4 linked regions of the Neodiprion lecontei genome follow. The protein of the gene in region 4 purifies or fractionates together with the protein of the main gene of each other region. This does not show direct contact. Links are inferred from orthologs where the notes say so. Each region holds a gene or a part of one and is shown on either strand. Other genes may lie near its edges.

The links.
Region 1: the proteins of protein NDUFAF4 homolog (region 4) and NADH dehydrogenase [ubiquinone] 1 alpha subcomplex subunit 5 purify together in Homo sapiens (co-immunoprecipitation; 3 studies listed by BioGRID and IntAct, with this or other methods). This does not show direct contact. The link is inferred for Neodiprion lecontei from reciprocal best matches to the Homo sapiens genes NDUFAF4 and NDUFA5.
Region 2: the proteins of protein NDUFAF4 homolog (region 4) and RPII140-upstream gene protein purify together in Homo sapiens (affinity purification with mass spectrometry; 3 studies listed by BioGRID and IntAct, with this or other methods). This does not show direct contact. The link is inferred for Neodiprion lecontei from reciprocal best matches to the Homo sapiens genes NDUFAF4 and TIMMDC1.
Region 3: the proteins of protein NDUFAF4 homolog (region 4) and complex I intermediate-associated protein 30, mitochondrial purify together in Homo sapiens (co-immunoprecipitation; 3 studies listed by BioGRID and IntAct, with this or other methods). This does not show direct contact. The link is inferred for Neodiprion lecontei from reciprocal best matches to the Homo sapiens genes NDUFAF4 and NDUFAF1.

The regions. Positions count from the first base shown.
Region 1 is NC_060260.1:32,435,290-32,439,909, forward strand, and holds NADH dehydrogenase [ubiquinone] 1 alpha subcomplex subunit 5, read left to right. Parts: upstream 1-2,240; 5' UTR 2,241-2,375; coding exon 2,376-2,396; intron 2,397-2,986; coding exon 2,987-3,148; intron 3,149-3,336; coding exon 3,337-3,510; 3' UTR 3,511-3,690; downstream 3,691-4,620. Other genes in the region: KIF-binding protein, read right to left, coding at 310-2,121; uncharacterized protein LOC107218492, read right to left, coding at 4,345-4,439, 4,609-4,620. UniProt on the Homo sapiens protein: Accessory subunit of the mitochondrial membrane respiratory chain NADH dehydrogenase (Complex I), that is believed not to be involved in catalysis. Complex I functions in the transfer of electrons from NADH to the respiratory chain.
Region 2 is NC_060263.1:36,270,826-36,277,091, reverse strand, and holds RPII140-upstream gene protein, read right to left. Parts: upstream 3,959-6,266; 5' UTR 3,848-3,958; coding exon 3,681-3,847; intron 3,460-3,680; coding exon 3,205-3,459; intron 3,093-3,204; coding exon 2,844-3,092; intron 2,727-2,843; coding exon 2,606-2,726; 3' UTR 1,437-2,605; coding exon of another isoform or gene 1,266-1,436; 3' UTR 627-1,265; downstream 1-626. Other genes in the region: twinfilin, read left to right, coding at 1,266-1,436.
Region 3 is NC_060266.1:45,367-49,889, reverse strand, and holds complex I intermediate-associated protein 30, mitochondrial, read right to left. Parts: upstream 2,450-4,523; 5' UTR 2,264-2,449; coding exon 1,908-2,263; intron 1,690-1,907; coding exon 1,161-1,689; 3' UTR 1,024-1,160; downstream 1-1,023. Other genes in the region: probable cardiolipin synthase (CMP-forming), read left to right, coding at 1-213. UniProt on the Homo sapiens protein: As part of the MCIA complex, involved in the assembly of the mitochondrial complex I.
Region 4 is NC_060260.1:87,471-92,322, reverse strand, and holds protein NDUFAF4 homolog, read right to left. Parts: upstream 2,553-4,852; 5' UTR 2,268-2,552; intron 2,262-2,267; exon of another isoform or gene 2,129-2,261; 5' UTR 2,103-2,128; coding exon 1,958-2,102; intron 1,849-1,957; coding exon 1,757-1,848; intron 1,676-1,756; coding exon 1,453-1,675; intron 877-1,452; coding exon 749-876; 3' UTR 656-748; downstream 1-655. Other genes in the region: transmembrane protein 138, read right to left, coding at 1-129. UniProt on the Homo sapiens protein: Involved in the assembly of mitochondrial NADH:ubiquinone oxidoreductase complex (complex I). May be involved in cell proliferation and survival of hormone-dependent tumor cells. May be a regulator of breast tumor cell invasion.

The sequences.
Region 1 (4,620 bases), about 32 Mb from region 4:
TTAATTAATTCGATACTAGCACCATACGCTCAAACTGTAAGATGTAAACGCACAAAGCATGGTATTTTTATTTCAGTTTCAGAAATATAAGTACCGACTTTACTGCCTGTACCTATGTTCAGATTTACACAGTCAGATGAAGCCGTGAGATTAATGAGTTGTTAGGTACAGAGAGTAATATCAGTATTACGTAAAAAATGTATAGTTTCAATAACTTATAATACAAACTTATTAAAATAATGTTTTGCAAAAAAAGCTGTATTAAGCAAGAAATGAATATGAATCTTTATTGCCTTAAAGACATCATATTTATACCAATTCTCTAGTTAATTTTTCTATTTTCAATGGTAAAAGATTAACAAAGTCTTTGCAGACACTCAATTCCACGCTCATCAATTCTGCAGCTTTTTCATCCTTCTCACAGTAGCCAATCAGCGCTTTGTAGGCATTCAAACTATTTCGAAGATTTTCTAGCTGTGCATGTTTGTCAGGTGTTATGATTTTATAATACAATCTTCCCAAAAAAAAGTAAGCAAATAAAGCGGGTCTAACTAAATCTTCGGAAAATTTGTCTGGGAAATTGTGAGTGGCTGGATCCACCAGAGAATCTAAAAAATTCTGAAAGTTTCCAATCGCACTCCTGGCAAGGTTATTGATTTTAGTTAGTGCCTGGGCGGTCGGTCTTTCGTTTGACGCTTGCAGACGTTCAAGCTTAATATCTAAAATATCGCAGTAAACTTCGCCCAGTTCGATCCATAGTTGCCTGCACACAGTTTGGTAATACTGTGGATTTAACTCTGTAACAATCTTTTCTAAGGCGTCGACCCGCCGCTTGTGCATTTTAGATTGGCGATCCTCATCCTCTTCAAAGAATGACAAGAATTTAAAGAGCTGCGAAACGTCTTGTATCACTTGCACGTGATCCGACGCATGACTCTCCAATGTGTAATACTTTTTTGCCTCATCAAGCCATTGTTGGGAGTTCAGAAATATCGTCCTGGCATCGTTGAAGTCCAAAGCATATTTGTCTGTCAGTTGATTTGCAATAGTTTCAATTTCTTTCTCTATCTTTGTGAATCTTAAATTCTCGATACATTCTTCAGTGACCCCCGAGTTCTCATCCAACTGCATCCTACTTATCTCCGAGCACATTTCGCTCGTTTCATCATCGGCATGATGCATCAGCCTTTCTTTGGATGTACTCAACAGCAGGATCCCATATTTTGCCCAGCACCTGGCGACGTCTGCGCTTCTATGTCTGAACGTTTCCCATTTTGCTGCCACCACTTCCTCCGTATCGTCCAAACTTCTCAACTCATCCTCGTACTTTTGCAGAATATATGAAGCTGCAGCCAAGTGATGTTTGGCCTGCCTAAACCCTCCCTTTTCCATAAAATACTGGGACAAAGTCGCAGCATTCAAGGCCCAGTCTACACAATCCAGATCTTCGTGGTTCAACTGACGTTTCAGAGTCATGTGGCAGTAGACTGCGGATTTGAGGTGATCCTTTAAGGTTCCATAGATTTGCGCCAAGTAGTAGAGAGTCAGAGTGTGGAGTCGTTCGACTATTTCCTCAGCGTCTGTGTCATCGTCATCATCCTTCAGATTGAACAATGCGGCCATAAGTACGGGTTTGGTACTATCGCTTTTTTCAATCGCAGTAAAATCCTTGTATATTTTTTCAGCTTTTTCTAAATATTTCTGGGATGTTTTTGGATTGTCTCGCTGGGCCCAGAGTATTCCCAGCTGATTCAGAGCACTAAGTATAACTAATATTGCCTCTGGTCTCAGTTCTCGGTCAATCAAAAGGTCCACGCAGTTGGTCAGCTGCTCTTCACCGGCTGCCAATTCCTCCGTGTCGACCGAAATTATCCCCATATTGAGCCAGATAACAGCAAGCATTGCTGTCACAATATTTCTGTCGTGTTCTGTTATATTGTCGTCTAATATTTTCACAAGTTTAATCTGCATTTCCTTGAGTATATCGGCTGCCGCATATTTACTTTTGTACGGCTCACTCTCCGGGTCCAATTTACTGTGCTCGTCCAGCAGCTTTCGAACCTTGACGTATTTCTCCTCCAGGTCCACTAGAATCTCCTTATTCACACTATCGAGCTCCATTTCAACGACACTTTCGGACAATATACTGAAGTGATTGAAATTCAAGCTGCAACGACGACTGATTTATTTGATCCGTGTTTGAGGTTAAGTACCGGTTTTCCTGTTTTCTTTTCGTCGTCTACGCGGTGCGCAGACCGTTTTGCGTTTTTCGTCTCAAGCAGACGCTGTGAGCAGACGATAGAGTGCGATCCGTAGTCTCAATTAATCCTGAAAACTTGTGCAAAGTATCGAGGAATTCAGAATTTGCGTAAAATATGGCTGGGCTTTTGAAAAAGGTAAATGTCTAACATAGTTGAATTGTTGGTATTTCTTAGAAATGGGCTTGCAAATTTTTCTTTATGGCAAATAACGTCAGGTGTTACACAACATAACCTGTATATCATATTAATCACTTCTCGAATACGCGTTGAGAAACGGTATTTTTCAAGAATTGGAGCGTTTTAAACGTATTTTTTTATTGCTGCGCCAGTAACTATAAAGGTCATCGATCCTTTCGAGACTCACTTATGCAAAATTCACTACCAGTTAGACATTGTCTCTGGTGGATGGATGTAGTCAAAGAAAGGTAACTGCTCGTGGCTGCTTATATTTGATTGTGAGATATAATAAAATCGCTAACTGCTCAAGTTGTATTACCATGCTTCTGTTTTTTTAAATTGATAACTAAAGTACTTTGCAGAATATCACAGAAGTCCTATCATTGTTTGATGGAAGGATTCTTTACGACTAACTAACAACTATAAGATTCATGACTGAGACATTTGATTCGTATGTTTATATTCCAAAAGAGCTGTGACTTTTTAAAGCCTTTTTAAGTATATTCAATGCTTTTTAAATGTTCAATATCAAGTATTCTCTTTTTTAGTCAACAAATTTAGCCAGGGTGCCCGTTGCCCCGAATCCACATCATACTTTGGGAGTGTTGTACAGTAAAATTCTTAGAGCCGTCGATAAAATGCCCAAGGATTATCCCTACAGAATCAATACGGAGAAAATTGTTAAGGAACGAGCTGCTCATGTGAAAAATGTAACTATTATTGCACAGTTTATTTATTAATAGTTATTCTTGGAAGATTATTAAATTATAAACTGATCAAGAATGATGTCGCGTAAAGTCGAAAATCGTGATTTTCATTAAGGTTTATTGAAAAGATATGCTTGTTACCTTGGTAAGAAAAAAGATATTGACAAATTATAGGATTTAAATCGTTTCAGAATCTAAAAGTGCCAGACCTTGAAAAAGCCATAAACTGTGGCCAAGCTGAAGAATTAATCCTACAAGCTGAAAACGAATTACACTTGGCGAGAAAGTTCTTAGGTTGGAAGCCTTGGGAACCGTTGATCCAAGAAGCACCTGCTAACCAATGGACTTGGCCACCGCACAAATAATATGTGAATCGATTACGCATATTTAAAATGTTTATAATCATTGCATACGCAAAGTAGACAATATTAATTGTATATACGTCTGTCTCCGATTATAAAATAGCAGTTTTGGAAGAAATTACTTGTTCCTGAAAATAGATATCATTAAAGAAATGAAAATATGCATGGACTAATCAAATGAAACTATGTCATCTTAATTAACGTGCTTCTGCATTGAAAAACAGGTCAAGATTTTTATTTAAAATATTCAAGAGCAATATTTCTTCGTTTTTCTGACCAAATCACGTAATGACCTTCATATGTGCCAGAAAGGAAGATGTAATTAGTAACGGTCTAATTACGTCTCAAGTTAAGTTAGCATTAATGAAAAATTAAAAATCTGCAGATCTACCAAGACTTTGCAGCCAAAATCCCTGTGACGAATTTATTCACAAGCTTACATTTACACTTTAAATATTGAAATTTTATTATAGATAAAAAATAGTCTAAATAAACCGACGAGTTGGAGATTAACAGATTTGTAGTATTTCCAGATTTCCGGACCACAAAAAATTATAATAGCGACACCAGAAAGATATGTATAACATACTCTCTTTGTACTAATTTGAAACTCAAGCCATAGTTAAAGATCTGCTCTACGCTCTACAGTATCATCCATTAGTGCAACTAATATTTCTTGCGAAGTATTTGATGTCCCATCTGGATGTCGTTTATCAAAATTTCCTGACTGTCCCTATTTGGATTCTGATTGCGTAACCACATTTCTATGTTTGCATACTTCCCTAAATGAGAGACAAAAAATTGCCATAACAAACTAAGTTTCGATGCAACATTTATTTATTTACATACTTTAGAATTGCTTGCTCTGTTATTGTTATTCCAAGTCATTGTATTCTCTTCACTGATTTTTGAGCTGGAGGGCTCAGAAGTCTCTGTAAAAGATATTGACGATTAGAAATTACTTGAATATGTTCGTCATGGATTTTTTTACCCGTACAAAGCATTATTCGAGCTTAAACATCTGCATTACGAAGACTGCTTCTGGTAGAAGGAGTAAGGAACAGATAAACCAGTCCCAACAAATTACGGTATATAATTTACCTGGAATTGATT
Region 2 (6,266 bases), on a different chromosome or scaffold from region 4:
CTATGTATAAAGTTAGCATAATATTGATCAAAATTTACACAGTTATACAGAGTGGGAGAGTTGTCAGATAGGCAACAACAAGATGATGATATTCGAGAGGCATTATATTTTTCGTGACGTGTATTTTTTAACTCTTGTAGCTTTTTATAAGCGTTTTAGAAATCTTTGGATTTTAACTTATGATCTGGGACTTGTTAAAAAAGAAAAGAAACATGAAATTGAAAGTATGCAAATTTACGTGGTCACTTTTTTTGCATTTTTATCTACCTTTGATAGAAAAAATAATTGTGAATTCGTAATCCTATCGTAGTCACAAACTATCTTGAGAAATTGCCCCCCCCCCCCCCCCAGATCCCCCGCCACTGTTGAAATAACTTTTTGCAAGTATATGTCTCAACGCTCAATGTAGAAATACAATGGCGATTGATTGAATTCATCGAATTTCCGAATATGATATTTCCTGTATATTTTTTTTCTATCTGAATAGTAAACCATATAAATATGAATAACAGAAACGATTTACGGTATTATTCATATCACAAATTTACATGGGCTGTTTTTGTGGAAAAATCGTGATCATCTAAGTTTTGTATGATAGAACTATACTAAAATTTTTTCGGGCCCAATGGTTTTCTATACGACGCTCAAAATTTGAAATTGTGTTCCGATATATGCATAAGGGGGAGACGCACACGTTCGCCCAGGCGCAAATTATGTTTATAAGTACCACTGTTCCAGGCCAGGCCTATTCTGTAAGATGCGTTCATTGTATTGATTGATTATTTATAAAGAAAATTTTGTTAAAAACATTATAGGTTCCTTCTTATGAACAAATAAATTGTATATTCTTGCCAATATTAAATATATTATGAATAATAAACACAATTATACAATTTAAAAAGAATATTTCTTGCTTTTGTCAATATCTTACTGTAATCCACAGTTCTTTCAATAATTTTATTTTGCTATATACGTATATTGTAAATGAAAATAGACAAATAAAATTCAATAGGTGGGAATGAATGCCAGGGTGATAACATCATCGTACGGGTACGTAATAGCGTTTAATATTTAGTAATTATATTTTATAAGCTTACAGTATAGGCCTGACATTGGTATACCATGATTTTTTATTGTAAATTATTTATATCCAATCGTAACATTTGGATGATAATTTGAGCTTGAAACGTCCAAGTATCTCTATTTCTTGTTACTGAAAATTGTAGAAATTTAATTCTGTTTATGCAAAATTTTTCGGTCTGTAGCTTGAGATTGATGACGGAAAGGAACTAACCATGGAATTTTTGCAAGAGGAATTACATCCGAAAGTCAATTTGCACCGACCTAAGTTTGCCAAACCCAAAGGTCCGCCAAACAGAGGTGCTAAACGTTTGACCAAGATTCAAACTCCAGAAACTGCAGAACAAGAAACTTAATATAAAACTCTGATGAATTATACAATTAGGACAATAACAAATTCAAGCAGGCTGTAAGATTTTAGTAAACTGCCCAACGCTTTATTACTATTTATTCCGCAACATTACTCTTTGCTTAATTTTGACTGTCAAATTCAGTGCTTTTATTCACTTCTAGTACATTTCTCGTTTATTATTCATCCAAATGGGAAAATTCGGTTTTCGTTTTATAGTGTACAATGAAATATTGATCGAATGAAGTTGACTAGACAAGAACTTTTTTTTTCTATACATTTCTAATTTGCATATCGTATATGTCGTTGATTATCAGGCCTATTCTGTGAGCATATGTAGTATTTATTGCATACACGGTAACGACTTTGCTAACTTCAAAACTATGCAATAAACAGCTGCCTCGAATTTCCATCAGAACTTATGTTTAGTATTGAGCATGGAAATTTTCAGTATTAATACTTGCCTGCAGAATAGGGCTCATAAAATATCGAATTAGGAATATCTCTCAATGTTTGCGAATTATGACCAGTGTTCTATCAAGAATATTTTCGTTTCATTGTGAACATGCATGCTGCTGTAGATCAGAATTTTACATTCAAATTATTCGATTAGAGGGATCAGTAGACATTTTTCAGCAATTGCTCAAATTTGATTATGTATTTTATTGGCACAATCGGTATATAGTTTATTGCAGTGATAGAGAATAAGATTAGCGATTTTTATAATCATTATATAAAAATTGTGTTATCCAAGGTATCATAATTTAATCACTTGCAGGAAATTGCATCAATTTGAAGGATTGAGAATTTAACATGTTATAATATAACAAATTTTTCAAGTATTGGGTTAGACAGGTGTAACTAATGTTGAAAATAACGTAAAGAAATATAATTCGCACATGATCGACACCCATTTTCTTAAACGTACTCATATACAATTTTAGCAATCATAAAAATGTGCCGTTGCCTTAGGTACTAGTGAATTAAGTCTGCATGAGTTATATACATATAATGTACTTTAAAGAAACAGAAAAAACCACATATTATTATTAGAAATTATTAATTAAATTATAATTGTTCTCTGAACAATTTAAAATAAATTATAATTATGTATAACAACGAATAAAGTCTAATATCTACAAGACCAATGGAAATAGACCTACCTAAATTGAGTGACTATGCTTTACTTTTCTTAACCTCTTGCTCTTGCACCTCTAGACTTTCCACTTTTTTGTCATGCAACATTTCGATGTCTGTTGGCTGCTGGATAACGCGACTCATAGAACTCTGAATTCGCCTGTAATGAGAGAAAATACTTTAATTAGAACGACTTATTCATACACACTGTACGTAAGTGAGCTAAAAATACTTGAAAAATGATAACGGCACGTTCAAATCAGTGACCGTCTCTCACTTGTCTCTGCTCTTCTTCCAATTGTATTGCCAGTATCGGATTTCCTCCATCGTCGTACCACTTATTTTTAACAATGCTAAACACAATGCACCAGCTACACCGCCGAAAACTCCTCCCACAGCTCCGCCAACAAGCATTGCTCTCGGACCCAACATTGTTTTATACATCGCTCCAGTTATAGTACCCGCAGTTACATATTCTAAAAGAGATGACTTGCCACGATAAACTGCGATCGAGGTTGTCAGTAATCTACAATTTTAACATACTTTTAGGACGACTGTAGTTGGCTAAATCTGAAACTCAAAATATTCTAAGATACTAGATTAGTTTGTTGCGTGAAATTTTAGCGTAAGATTCTCACACATAAGAGCCAGTGAAAAAGGCGATTCTCCATGCCCAGTGATAAGCACCCTTGGCAAAACTGATTGTAACAGTATCTTGCAATTTTCTTTTCGCCTCGAATATGTTTGTGAATGCTGTCGCCTGATTTCTCTCCATGAAATTTACATACGCCATACGTGAATTCAGTGAGCCTCCATATACGAGTCCAACAAACGTTCCAAAAAATGTTGCTTGTACAGCGAAGTGCATTTCAGGACTTCGGTTTCCATACTCGCTGTAACGTAAACGGCTGCATTATTTAATGGATTGACAAGATAGAAGACAATTCGATGTGCGGATGTCAAGAAAGGAACAAAGAACAAATTGAAGGCAACAGAGGGTAGAACGATTTGAAAAGGGAAAAAATTAGTTTTGAGAATGACACATGAAAGTGTCGTGCGTTGATTGTAACAAGCGGGATAACGAAGGTCTACTATTAATAAAACAAGTACATACTCGAGACTGTACATGTTTCTTAACCTATCCCAGCCGGTTTCATTTTCGTTCGCATCAGAGTTAAATGATTTGGCAGTTTGTACAGTTTTATCGGGTATATCATACTGCCAAAACGGTAAATGTATACCTATCAGATACGGTATTCGTCTTCCCGCGACATTTAACATTTTGTAGCTATTGAATTGGGAATTGTTGGTCCCGATATCTCTGCAAGTCAATGGATGGTGCGATGTAACATAACCTAAAAATACAACTCAAGATACAAAATTTTGACGACGCCATTGGCCAAACTAGCAGTTCAAAATATCTCCAAAATGTCAGGGGCATGCGCGATGGATGATCCGCCCGAGGTTAAAAAAAAATGAATGTTTGTTTTTTGCCGATCAGCCAGCGGTAAAATTTGGCTAATGATTTTGTCACGGGAAGAAGTTACCTTAGACCTCAATAAGTTGTTTCAGCTTAAGATTCACGTAAGAATTGCATACAGATCTGCAGCGAAGATGAAAAATCGATGCTGAAAGGTTGAACATCAAAAAGAAGAGGTTGATTTTATACATAGATGTTGCCGTTTTGTAGGCAGCGAATAATCACACAAGGCTTACGGGTTGCAGACGTTAAGGCGCGATTCGGTAACATCGATTATTTAAAGCTTGAAAGCTACCGTAGTTGTATGAAAAATGCATCACTGCAGTTTGCTGTACAGTACAGCAATGAGATTAGAGGCTAGATTTATTACGGCTGGAAGGAGAGGTGCATATAAAATGCACCCATTTATATCTCTTATCTTGACTGAGCCTCCTGCAACGTTTCACGTGCTATAGTTAAGAAAATTCAGTTCAGATTGGTAAGATCAATTCGTTGTTGTTAGAAAACTATGCAATAGAATCGAATAAAATAATTTGTTTCAGTTTCGATAAAGATTCGAAAATAGATACCTTAAGTCCGAACCGACTGCTTTTATATTCCTTCTAACTTTGGCTCGAGAAGAATGGTATTAACTATTTATGATTCTTGAGCATACTTGGTGAAATTCTGACATATATCCAGTACAATATCACGAGTAACAGCAAATTACTAAAAAATCAGTAAGTAATGATTTTCATAAAAAACTGAAGCATCACATGGAAAAATTTTGGAATTAATTTCAGCGATAATTGCGTTATATCGTTTGAATATATTCTCTTGGGCATTGAATTGTATATTGGTCACGGGTATAGTTTATCGAAACTTGGATATTTTAAATTATATTCAAAATCATAGTTATTTTTTTTTTTACGGAATTTAAATCGGCGGGTAGACCGGAAGCTGGAAATGGTGGTGAAAAACGGCGCACGATGCTAATCCCGTGGTTCCCTCAGTGTACCGCTAGGTGTGCTGGCAGAGACGCGCCGTGACGTAACGGCATTACATCAGGCTTCTTTTCCACCCCCGAAAGCCGGGGGCAGGGATGAAGGAGGGAGACCGTCGGTGGCAGCGAGGGCCGGGGGAGTAGAAACTCGCACGTCAATAGGACCGCCGGCGGCTGGGGTGTGGAGGGGGCGACGGCCGGCGTGTGCCAGGGGGTGGAAAAGGTAACAGGGGCGATAGGGGTGGTTTCCGAAGCGCCGAAGAGCGAGGAACGGCTGCGAACCGTGTGGTTGTACCGCGCAACGCCAGTGTCACACTAAAATGTGACTCGACGCAACGAGCACAGAACCGAAATTCCATTAGTTTAGGGAAAAGCCGAAGTATTTGAAAAAAAAAGGAAAACAAAGAAAATATAGAAATAATAAATAAACCGAAAAAGTGTGCACCTTGGATTATATGCATCCGTTACACCGCTGACCGATCGCTAACACTAGTCGGAGATATAATACATATCATTTTATCCTAGTTGAAAAAGACTCTCGCGTAGTCGTTGAGGGGGGTGAAAAAAAAAAAAAGGAGCAAGCATAAAGAAACTATATATATAAGGAAAAATACAAATAAAAAAAAAAAAAAAAATAAAAAATATATATACATATATGTTATGGTTAAAAAGTTAATAATTTTAATTATATAAAAAACAAAAAAAAAAAATAAAAAATACAATTCTATGTACACGCATATCTACGATACGATATTAAATTATAAATTCATGTTGTAAGAAATATACCGCGTTAACGTTAAACGGGGAGGGGGAAAAAAAAAAAAATTATATTCGTTGAACGTAGCAGTTGGCTAAGTTATAATTACAGTGTGGTGATTTTGGAAATAAAATTGGTTTTCTATTTGTTTTACTTGTTTCTTTTGACGCAATAAATAAAGGATTGATAAATCTGTGATTTGTGTCGCGAAGATAATATTCTCGGGAGACTGGTGCAGGCAACGGGTAAGTCGAATACGTACAATTAATGATTCAGCTCCCTCAAACCGTATTGCATAATGTATATAACGTAGAGCCACTTTGTCAGAGATACAAACCTAATAATAGACTCGCAAGAACTAGACTGATAAGGCAATTAGGCACGTATTTAACGACAAAATTACCACGACCAGTCGGAAGGGTATACGTCCTATGAATATACCCATGAATTTCTACCTGTAGCTACGACAAGACGATCGTTT
Region 3 (4,523 bases), on a different chromosome or scaffold from region 4:
GCTAGCAAACTAAATACCGGAGTACAATTGTGCCTGGTCGGTAGTACCTTAGCTGCTCCAGTTTTTCATTTCGTTGATCACCCTCTGTTGCAAGGCCTTTGCTACCTGACAGCCGTCACAACCCTAGCTGGAGGCCTCAGTTACCTGGTATCAAAAGATACGTACAAGTTTCTTCGTAAGAGGAAGATCAACCCTCCATCATCACCTTCATGACACTACTAGTTGACTCGAGCGTAACCACATCACAAAGACCAAATTTGCAATCATTCTGTGCATTCCGCATGTGAGAAGCGTATCTGTGAACCACAGTCTGACTGCCGGCTCAATGGCTCATCAGCAGTCAATGTGTAAGTCATCATCAACTGATTGATATTCGATCTGGACACTACAGTGATAGTATCCTGGTACAACGATTGATGCAAATTCTATTCTCGCTAGTTTGTTACGTTCCCATTTGTCACAATAAAGTGTATAACAGTTACAGCCATGTTTACAGGTGGATAGTAACTAAACTGGTTGAGATCCAAGTCAATCTTCGTCCGCTTTCCTATTGACGAAATCGATCACGGTATAACCGGATGTAATATCAATTGTACCAATCACATTCTACTGCATAAATTTGACGCCGAATCGACCCAGCAGGTGACATGAAAGTCGTTTTCTTCCTGTCATTTTCTGTTTGCTGTTATACCTAAGGGACGAGATAGCTAAGCTGGACATTTTCTAATGGCTGGATAGGCATTCTAATAAAAGCTGTGATATCCGAACTGAACCGGCAATCCTGTGCCGTGATGGTAGTAACGTGCAATTTGACTACAAACAACGGACCTGGCTTACCGGCAGGTGTCTTGATGAACGCTCGTGGAACGTTAGTTCAACTAATAATTAAATTTAGGTGAAAACATGAATGATTAGGTTTTGTACGATTTACATTTTTTATCCTGTATGAAGAAAATTCAGCAGAGACAGTTACTTCTTAGCAGGGAGAGAAGATATTGAATGGTCTATCCATTCAGAGTCATATATGTTTATGAGATTTTTTATTATCCTACGTGAACCTGGCTACAATTTGATTTCCTCCACGGAGAATTATAATTACAAACAGAAATTTCTGAGCTGTTGAAATGGAGGAAAAACAGATAAATGTCTGTGCAACTACATCAATATCCGGCGATGTAGTCGTCAGTTTTGTACATTTCATACGCACATTCTTCCTTATGACTTGGATCAAATAACAATCCGATGTAGTCAATTTCCAAGTTAAACGGCCCTGTCACCTTGTCAGCTGCGGTAATTCCGAAGCTAACTACATTGTGCAGGGGTAATGGCTCTTGGTGGTCTTGGATTCTTCCTTTGCTGGCCATGAAGAATTTTGAAAAAGGTATTTTCACATACTGCCAATAAGGTCCACCTCTTGTGTAGAGTGCATAGTGATAGACATCATTCCAAGTTATATCAAAGTATCCAGCTGTCGATATGTTGAGCATGTAGGATCTACCGTCCCCTCTAACCCGCATTACCAGATGATTATAGGGATGCCAGTCATAGTAACCTTCTCGTTTGAAGGACTTGCGAGCACGTAGAGTATTAATGTTGCAATATCCTGCCTTTTTGATGTTTCCTGTTTTTGGTACACGTTTGTCCAAGTATCCAGAAAACAGCCCTCTGCCAGACTTGGTCAATTGCAGGCTTCGCGTGGATAGGAAAAGCGAAAAAAAATCGTTATTGAAATTCTCAAAGGATTTTCTCGTGTCGAGGAATAGCATTCCAACGTGTCGTAACTGTACTGCAGTGATTATAGTTTAGATATTTATGCGATTTGGGGCCGGATTCATGAAACTAGGCTGCAATATTTGAGGTCCTTGTTTCACGAATCGTGGGCCTGAATGCAAATTTCTCATAATCACCTGCAATTTGAGTAACCTTCCTCATAGTCACTATCGGCGGTGACAAACCATTGGTCGAGTGACTTTTTGTCACCGTTGAACCGCCAAGCGAGGTCAATTTCGTCCTTTCGATATATCAACAACGGATCACTTTCCAAGTGTTCAATTACCTCACGTTTGAAGAGTTTAAACTCGTCCCCGAGTATACGAAAGCCATTACGAATGTGCCAGAGGTCGTTTCGTTTTTCGGATGAGCTTTTTGCTGCGACTCGCGGATAACCTGATTTGCGATCTTGTTCCCAAAACCGACGTACTTGTATCCCAACGTGTTCACATCTGGTGACTGTTGCCACCATCCGTGGAATCCTGAAGTACATCACTACTGATGATACGCGCCGTGCAACATACTCCACCGTAATTCACTTGCCGATACTGTCTGTGATAATAAACGAACGCCTAGTAATATCTTTCCCGTGCCACTTCGTTGCATCGCCAGTAATAAATACATGTGACAATGGACACAGGGGCTGCCTGCTACGTACATACGTGCATACATACGTGTTGGCGTTGGCGTGGGGGGGGGGGGGGGGGGGGGGGCGGCTTCTGTTGTGTATGCAGCAAACGAAAGTACGTTCGTTTCTACAATGGGTTTCTACTTCGCAGCAATTTTGATGCATGTATGTACAGCAAGATCCATGTGTGTATGTACACCATTAATCATTGACCAATCAGAAAATTTTAGCAGCTGCCGCATTCGGTTGTTTGCTGCACGTGAAAAAGCAGCGTAAGGGTGCTATTTCACGAGCAGTAAAAAGCAGCAGTGGTTTAGTAACTTACTAGTTTTCACTAGCATCAGTCTGCTAATTTTACGCAGCAGCAGCACTGCTCATGAAATAGGTCGTGGCTTCTTGTGGTCTTGTGGCTTGTCGCTCGAGAAACCGAACTGCGAGCAGCAGAAACTTGCACCGGAAGTGATAGGGGAAAACTGCTGCTGCTTTTTACTGCTCGTAAAATAACACCATAATTCTTCATCTTTCTATAATTGCCAATAGTTTGATTTGATAGCACGGAAAAGTACGAAGGAGACAATTAAAACTGCGATAAAACTTGTCCCCAGTTTTGAGGTAACCTTAGTGGTATGTGCTCTGAGGAGGTAACGTAAGAAGAATTGTCTGATCGCAATTTGAGCGCCTCTTACGGAAAAAAGGGAAATTTTCGCTACAAAATGTAAAAAAAGAAGGATGCTGATCGTAACCTATTAAGGGTGTATTCCGAAATATACTTCCGGTACTGCCGACCGTGACGTTACGCAGTCAACTGCGAACTGCGTACCGTTTTTACTTCGAGTTGCCAGCCGCAATAAAATCGGAACGCTACACCGAGGACGCGGCCATCTCTCAAGTAGTGCAGCTGCCTCACATCCCCGACCGCAGTAGTCGCAGTCAACAACATCACAAATTTCATGACGTCACTGAGTGGCGGCAGTAAGCTGTCGCGCGATTTCGGAACGTGGTTGCCAGTACTTGCAGTACTGTCAGTATATTTCGGAATACACCCTATGAAACGAGGACGCCTCTGAGATTAAAGGAAGCCTTCATCAAGGCGTCCTTTATCCTTGAAATAAGGAGAGACTATGAATACGGGTATATATACAGGCGTTTAAATCGCACCCTGACAAGGTCCCTAGATTATACCAGGTCAAGACACGCGTGTTCCAGTTTTTCTCACTATAACGTGGGCAAAAATTTCTAGGCGCGTTCGCCCAAAAGTATCTTATAGCGTTTTCCACCGGGGTTTACTTAACATTACTGCATTTACCAGTTTTGACCAATCTTGCTCGATTTTTTGAGTTTAAGCATTAACGAGTTGCGCCCATACACCCGTATTCATAGTAACTCCTTATCTCAAGGATAAAGGACGCCTTGATGAAGGCTTCCTTGAATCTCAGAGGCGTCCTCGTTTCATAGTCACAACTTGGCTCTCCCTTCCAGAAGGAGGACATATTTAGGGATATGAGATTGCTTATGGTGGTAAAACTGCTGATCGAAGCGCCACTCGGCTGTATTTAAATCTAACTTAAACCACTTGGCTCTCATTGTCAAGTCGCGTCGGTTGATGAGAGTGTGTAACCTCAAAGAAGTTAACCCGTAGACTGGCTGTGATCCGCGTCATACGGGTCATAAGTGCATAGACGCCGAGCGCAAGCGTTGGCTACATGAAACGAAACAGCCAATCGCAGTGCCGAAGGTTTCCTCAAGGAAGCTCGTGTAACGTCCGACCGGAACGTCCGTATGTTTTATCGATTATTATTACTGCATGTTACTTTTATCAACTAACCAAACTCGAAGTACGAGAATCTTGTAACCATAAGAAATTAAAACAACTGTCTAACTATTTGGAATATCCCTAGATGGAAATAACTATGAAATTCACTAGCCAAGGCTTAAAAACCATGTTACGAGATCTTCGTACCACAGAGAACTATAATACTATTATACGTTATTATATATCACTATCATATTAACACTATAATTAACTAACACAATTATACCCAATTATTATATAGCACTCAACAATGCCATTTGTGCATTCGGAGCTGAGAGCTATACTTAAGCAACATACGCTTTACTATATAGC
Region 4 (4,852 bases):
TACACTAGCGTCGTAAAGCAAAAGTATGTATTGTAGTATGAATAGTATTGTATATTGTTTTGTCCAAGAGAAGATCATCTTAGTATGTGTGGATAACTTTTGTGAAAACGACTTAGGTCTTATCTCCATTCAGCTTAATAGCTGCTGTGATATTTCGTACGGTTGTCATGGCAATGGTAGACTTGCACTCCATCTTGCTCACTGCGACCCCATTGTGGTTGGAGACTAAACTCGAAAGTGACTACACGTGGAAAAAATCGATAGTTTAGTCATAAAATGTTAAATTATTGCGATTTTTACTAGACCCACTTTTTTACAGTCCGCTCTTTGTTTCACACTAACCATTGAATCTTTTGTGTATGTTCCAAAATGCGGGTGATTCCAATTTCTTATATATTTAGTAGGGTTGTAACACATATCTCCTGTATAATTGCAAAACAATGCAATTTCTACATCATTTCCGTGCAGTCATAAAAAATTTGTGTCATTTGTCTTCACATATATTTAGCCAACGTACCAGCATGCATCAATCAAGACTTGGAAAGTCACTGAAATGTCATTAGCTTACCCCATGTTGTAATGAGCATAATGTGGTTCAAAAGCTATCCCTCGTTACCATTCGTTAATAATCGTATTAGGATCAAGTGTGACTAAATTCAAAAACAACTTTCGTATTTTATTGAATATTCACATGTAGAACTATTCCTAACAATTTTACAGGCATTTACTAATAGTATCATATATATAACTATGTCAGATGCTTTGGATTATTCTGATCTTTCATCTTTTCATGCAACGAAGGTTGCAGTGGTGTTTCTTTCAGCTCCTTTTCAGGGATGTAGAGTTTAAACGTCCTGAAGTATTTCAATATATTACCTGTAAAATAATCAGTTTTCATATTGCACGAAAAAATACAGGTATCTTGGGTAGATAGGGGCTTCACTAGTGATTGTATTAGAAAAATAAACCGACATCATTAAATTTAATATTAATTTCAGAGTTTGGCAACTCAGAAGTGCATGAATGTGCAGTCCATTGCAACCACATTACTATAGAGCTGTCTGAAGATTATGTGTTATAGCAACGGCAACCTCACTCTTGTGCAACTTGATACAGAGCTGAAATGTGTGACTAAATGCACTATGTGATACAACTAGTCGAAATACCTTGCTCTCTGTGCGAGTGCAGTCTCTTGTGATGTAAAAAGCAGGTTTTTGATTATCTCTGTATAAAAATTAGTTACTGCATAATTCATGACGATGTTCCACTTTAATGTTTAACATGTATGAAAACTCAAACAAGTTGAGAAAACTGTCATACTTATTGAACTTATAACAAAGAATTTCGATTGTTGGTGCATTCAAAATTGTGTCATCGCAGGCACGCTCCAATCATGACCCTTAGATGGCCTGTTAATTTTTTGTACGCTTGTTAGTGGTAAATTGATCATACTTGTAGATTCGAGACTGAGTTTATACTCAGCAGCTATTTCAGCAGCAGTGTGTTTTGTTGGCTCTGTATTATGATCTGTTATGAATTTGATAGCTTGGCGCAAAGTACATCTCCCTATCGTAACTTCAGTTGGTTCAAAAACGCCAAACTCCAAGTCATCCCTGACAGTTCTGGACTGGGGAAGAGGCCGATCTGGATTTTTGACATGAAGTTTCTCCATCATCTGTAATTTCCAGATATAACGTAACAGAATACTCAACTCATCTACAACGGATTACGTAACTATTGGAATGATAAGTGTTACCTCTGCTGTATGAGATACAAGGTAGACATTTTTCAGATGATGATCAAGCTTCGCATCTTTCATGTTATGTTTTTTCAGGAAATCAGAATCTGCTGTAAATTTATTAAATGCCGATTGTACAACTACTTGGCAATGGTAACAGCAAGAATCAGGAAGTCATATTCATTGAGTTGATACTTGCAGGGCGTTGCGAACACTTGCCTTCGTTCATTATTTCAGATTGTCTTGCAGACGGTTTGTGGTGAGGTGCGGGAGTTGGTTTTTCTTTCGAAATAACTTTGTGGGCACGGTTCTCGATATTGAACCTTTGCAATTGTCGTGACAGCATTGACATTCCCTTTCCCATTTGGCTATCTACTTAATATTGATTACCTTAAACGTATCAAGAATGTAACATAAATACTGGCTTGTTTGTGACTTAGAGATATGATAAACATGCTCTACGCGGATAAGTAACCCGGCTCTACATCGGCTGCGAGAGATTCTTTAGAGAGGTTAGAGTTAGGCTCACATTGGCTCACGTCGTATCGATGCGGAAAACAGAAGAAGACGTTACTCAAAATAACAATTGTAGACTTGTCAACGGAGTCTTTCTCCGCGGTGGCGAGGCTAAAAAATGTAGCTCCATATACTTAGCCCGTCCTCAATATCCGAATGAGTGGATTTAGTTTTTAATAGCTCGTTGGACATTTGTTGGTGTTGATAGTGAGTTCCCGACGTTTAATAGTCAATAGTTGAGTGGTTGTGAATGGCGAAAAGTATCTCAGCTCGGCACTTTTTGGCCCCTGAAATGCGGGAGACGATGGGAATAGTAACACGTGTCAAAAAATTACACATTTTTTTTGGGCGATTTTCGAAATATGAGTAACTTTCCTGAATTCCGCTACAAAAGAGCGATATACCCGCGAACTTTGAATTCTTTCTGTTTGTTTGTTTATTTAATACCTAATATAGGAAGAAAGAGTGGGAGTTTTCTCAGTCCGTAAGGGTAGGAGTGCTAAATGCTTTTCAGAACAGGCTATATGACTTCAACTTTCACGGATCAGTGAAAGGCGGAAATTGATATCTTCAATCGACGTTGTTTTCATATCATCAATACTCCTGTTTACGTATCATGGAAACTATCAGAAACTATCATATGTATATTTTGTTCTGCCCCAGAAAAAAAGTCCAAGGCCTGGGTAATATATATAGACTACGCAGTCAAGAACGACCGAGTACGTAGATACCGGATGAACTTCGGATTGACCGATTTGAGTTGCTGAGGTTTTTTTATAATTTGGAGCTCTTTCTTTCTCGCGAGAGAGGAGAGCGGTCATTCGTCACTTGGTGATTGTTTGTAGTACTTCCACTTACGTACATGGTTATTTATAGAGAACCAATGGATATCCATCACCGATTTCAATCACACCGCAAACATTCGGGATTTCTGTAGAGTCTATTAGAGATCCACCATGAATATGGATCTTTTATGGAGCTGTGCGCATGGATTTCGCAAACGGCATATAAAAAAAGTAACGCACTCGTCATTTGCTGAGCCTCAGTCAACTTTCTTACGAGCATTGACTGAAGAATATATCTTCAGTTATAACGTTACGAGTAACGAAGTTTTCAATGTTGATCGCGCAGTTTGTGCATTGATTTTATTCTTCTTGGTTCTGAGACAAAGCACGGCATTTGCAAGCCGGTGGTCATCGCGCGGGGATATCTATTGCAGAGTGTACAGTGACAGTGAAGCATCTTGCCGTGAGTATTTATGAGATATATCTGAAAAGTGCAAAAGTATTTTTTCAACACGTTCATGGAATTGTGCCTCGCCTTAATTTTTCTTGTATGTAAGGACGTAAGGTGAATGGAAAATTGCTTACTTCGAGCGTGGATTTCGTTACCTTCCCGTCGTTTTCCCAAGGAGGTAATGAGCAATAAAATAAAACTGAATGATCTCGTTTGTCAATCATTGTTCTCATGATTAATTCATGTAAGTGAAATCAAACGTGAAACGCAATTATTTTATTTCGCCCAAAATTCACGATAAGGGCCTTATACATGCTCTTGTTAGAAACAGCCCGGTGTACAACAGGCGTAGGGGCTACTTCTACCGAATAGCCTTCAGCACCCTCGATTCGAACTTGTGTATCATCATGTGACCAAGGGTACAAATCATACACCAACATCATACATCATATCATACATAGTATGAACGTTCGAAATCCAAATTTCGAATGTTCGGATGTTCAGAAATTACATTTCGACGTTACCGAAAGTTTTTTTTTTTCATATAATATTCGACCACGCTAATCAATCAGCAGAATTCCTCAGTCCGGAAATAAACGCGCAGTAGAGAGGACGTACGAAAATCGCGCTCGGCAAATTTCGAGCATCAAGTCCTCTATCTCCTGGGTACTGCGCTCCAGGTCGTCCACCTGGTGAATTTCGACTTCCAAGGCGAGCACTCCGTAGCTTCTGTGCCTTAGATCCTTTACCTGTGGAGTCTCGAATTTCAGGACGAACACTCCGTAGTTCCTGGGCTCCAAGTCGTCTACCTGGTGAATTTCGGTTTTCTGGACTAGCGCTTCGCATTTCCTGGGCTCCGGGTCGTCTACCTGGTAAATTTCGTCTTTCAGGACTCGACTTTCAGGACGAACGATCTGTAGTTCCTGGGCTCCAGGTCTTGTACCTGGTGAATTTCGACTTTCAGAACAAGCGCGCCGCAATTCCTGGGCCCCAGGTATGAGAACTTATTTTGTTTTAATAGTTAAATCATGTGTATTAATAAATAAATACGGATAATCACGTTCATCGTGCCCCAGGTTTTTCTCTTCCAAAGTGAGTGTCCCAATTACGTCGAATTTAAAAATTCAATCTATTACTTGATAACTCAATGGTATCAAGTAATGTTATGTTATACATCCCACTAAATTATTCGTTGTCCTAGAGCCTCTAGAGCTCTTACGTGAGTTTGTCGAATAAATGAACTGACGAAATGCTGTGAACCTAGCCTTGCATGCTTACATATTTCAGCATTGCGAACGCATTAATATAATTATCGTATATCCATGTGAAATATGTTGTAATAAATATAGAAATATTTATTAA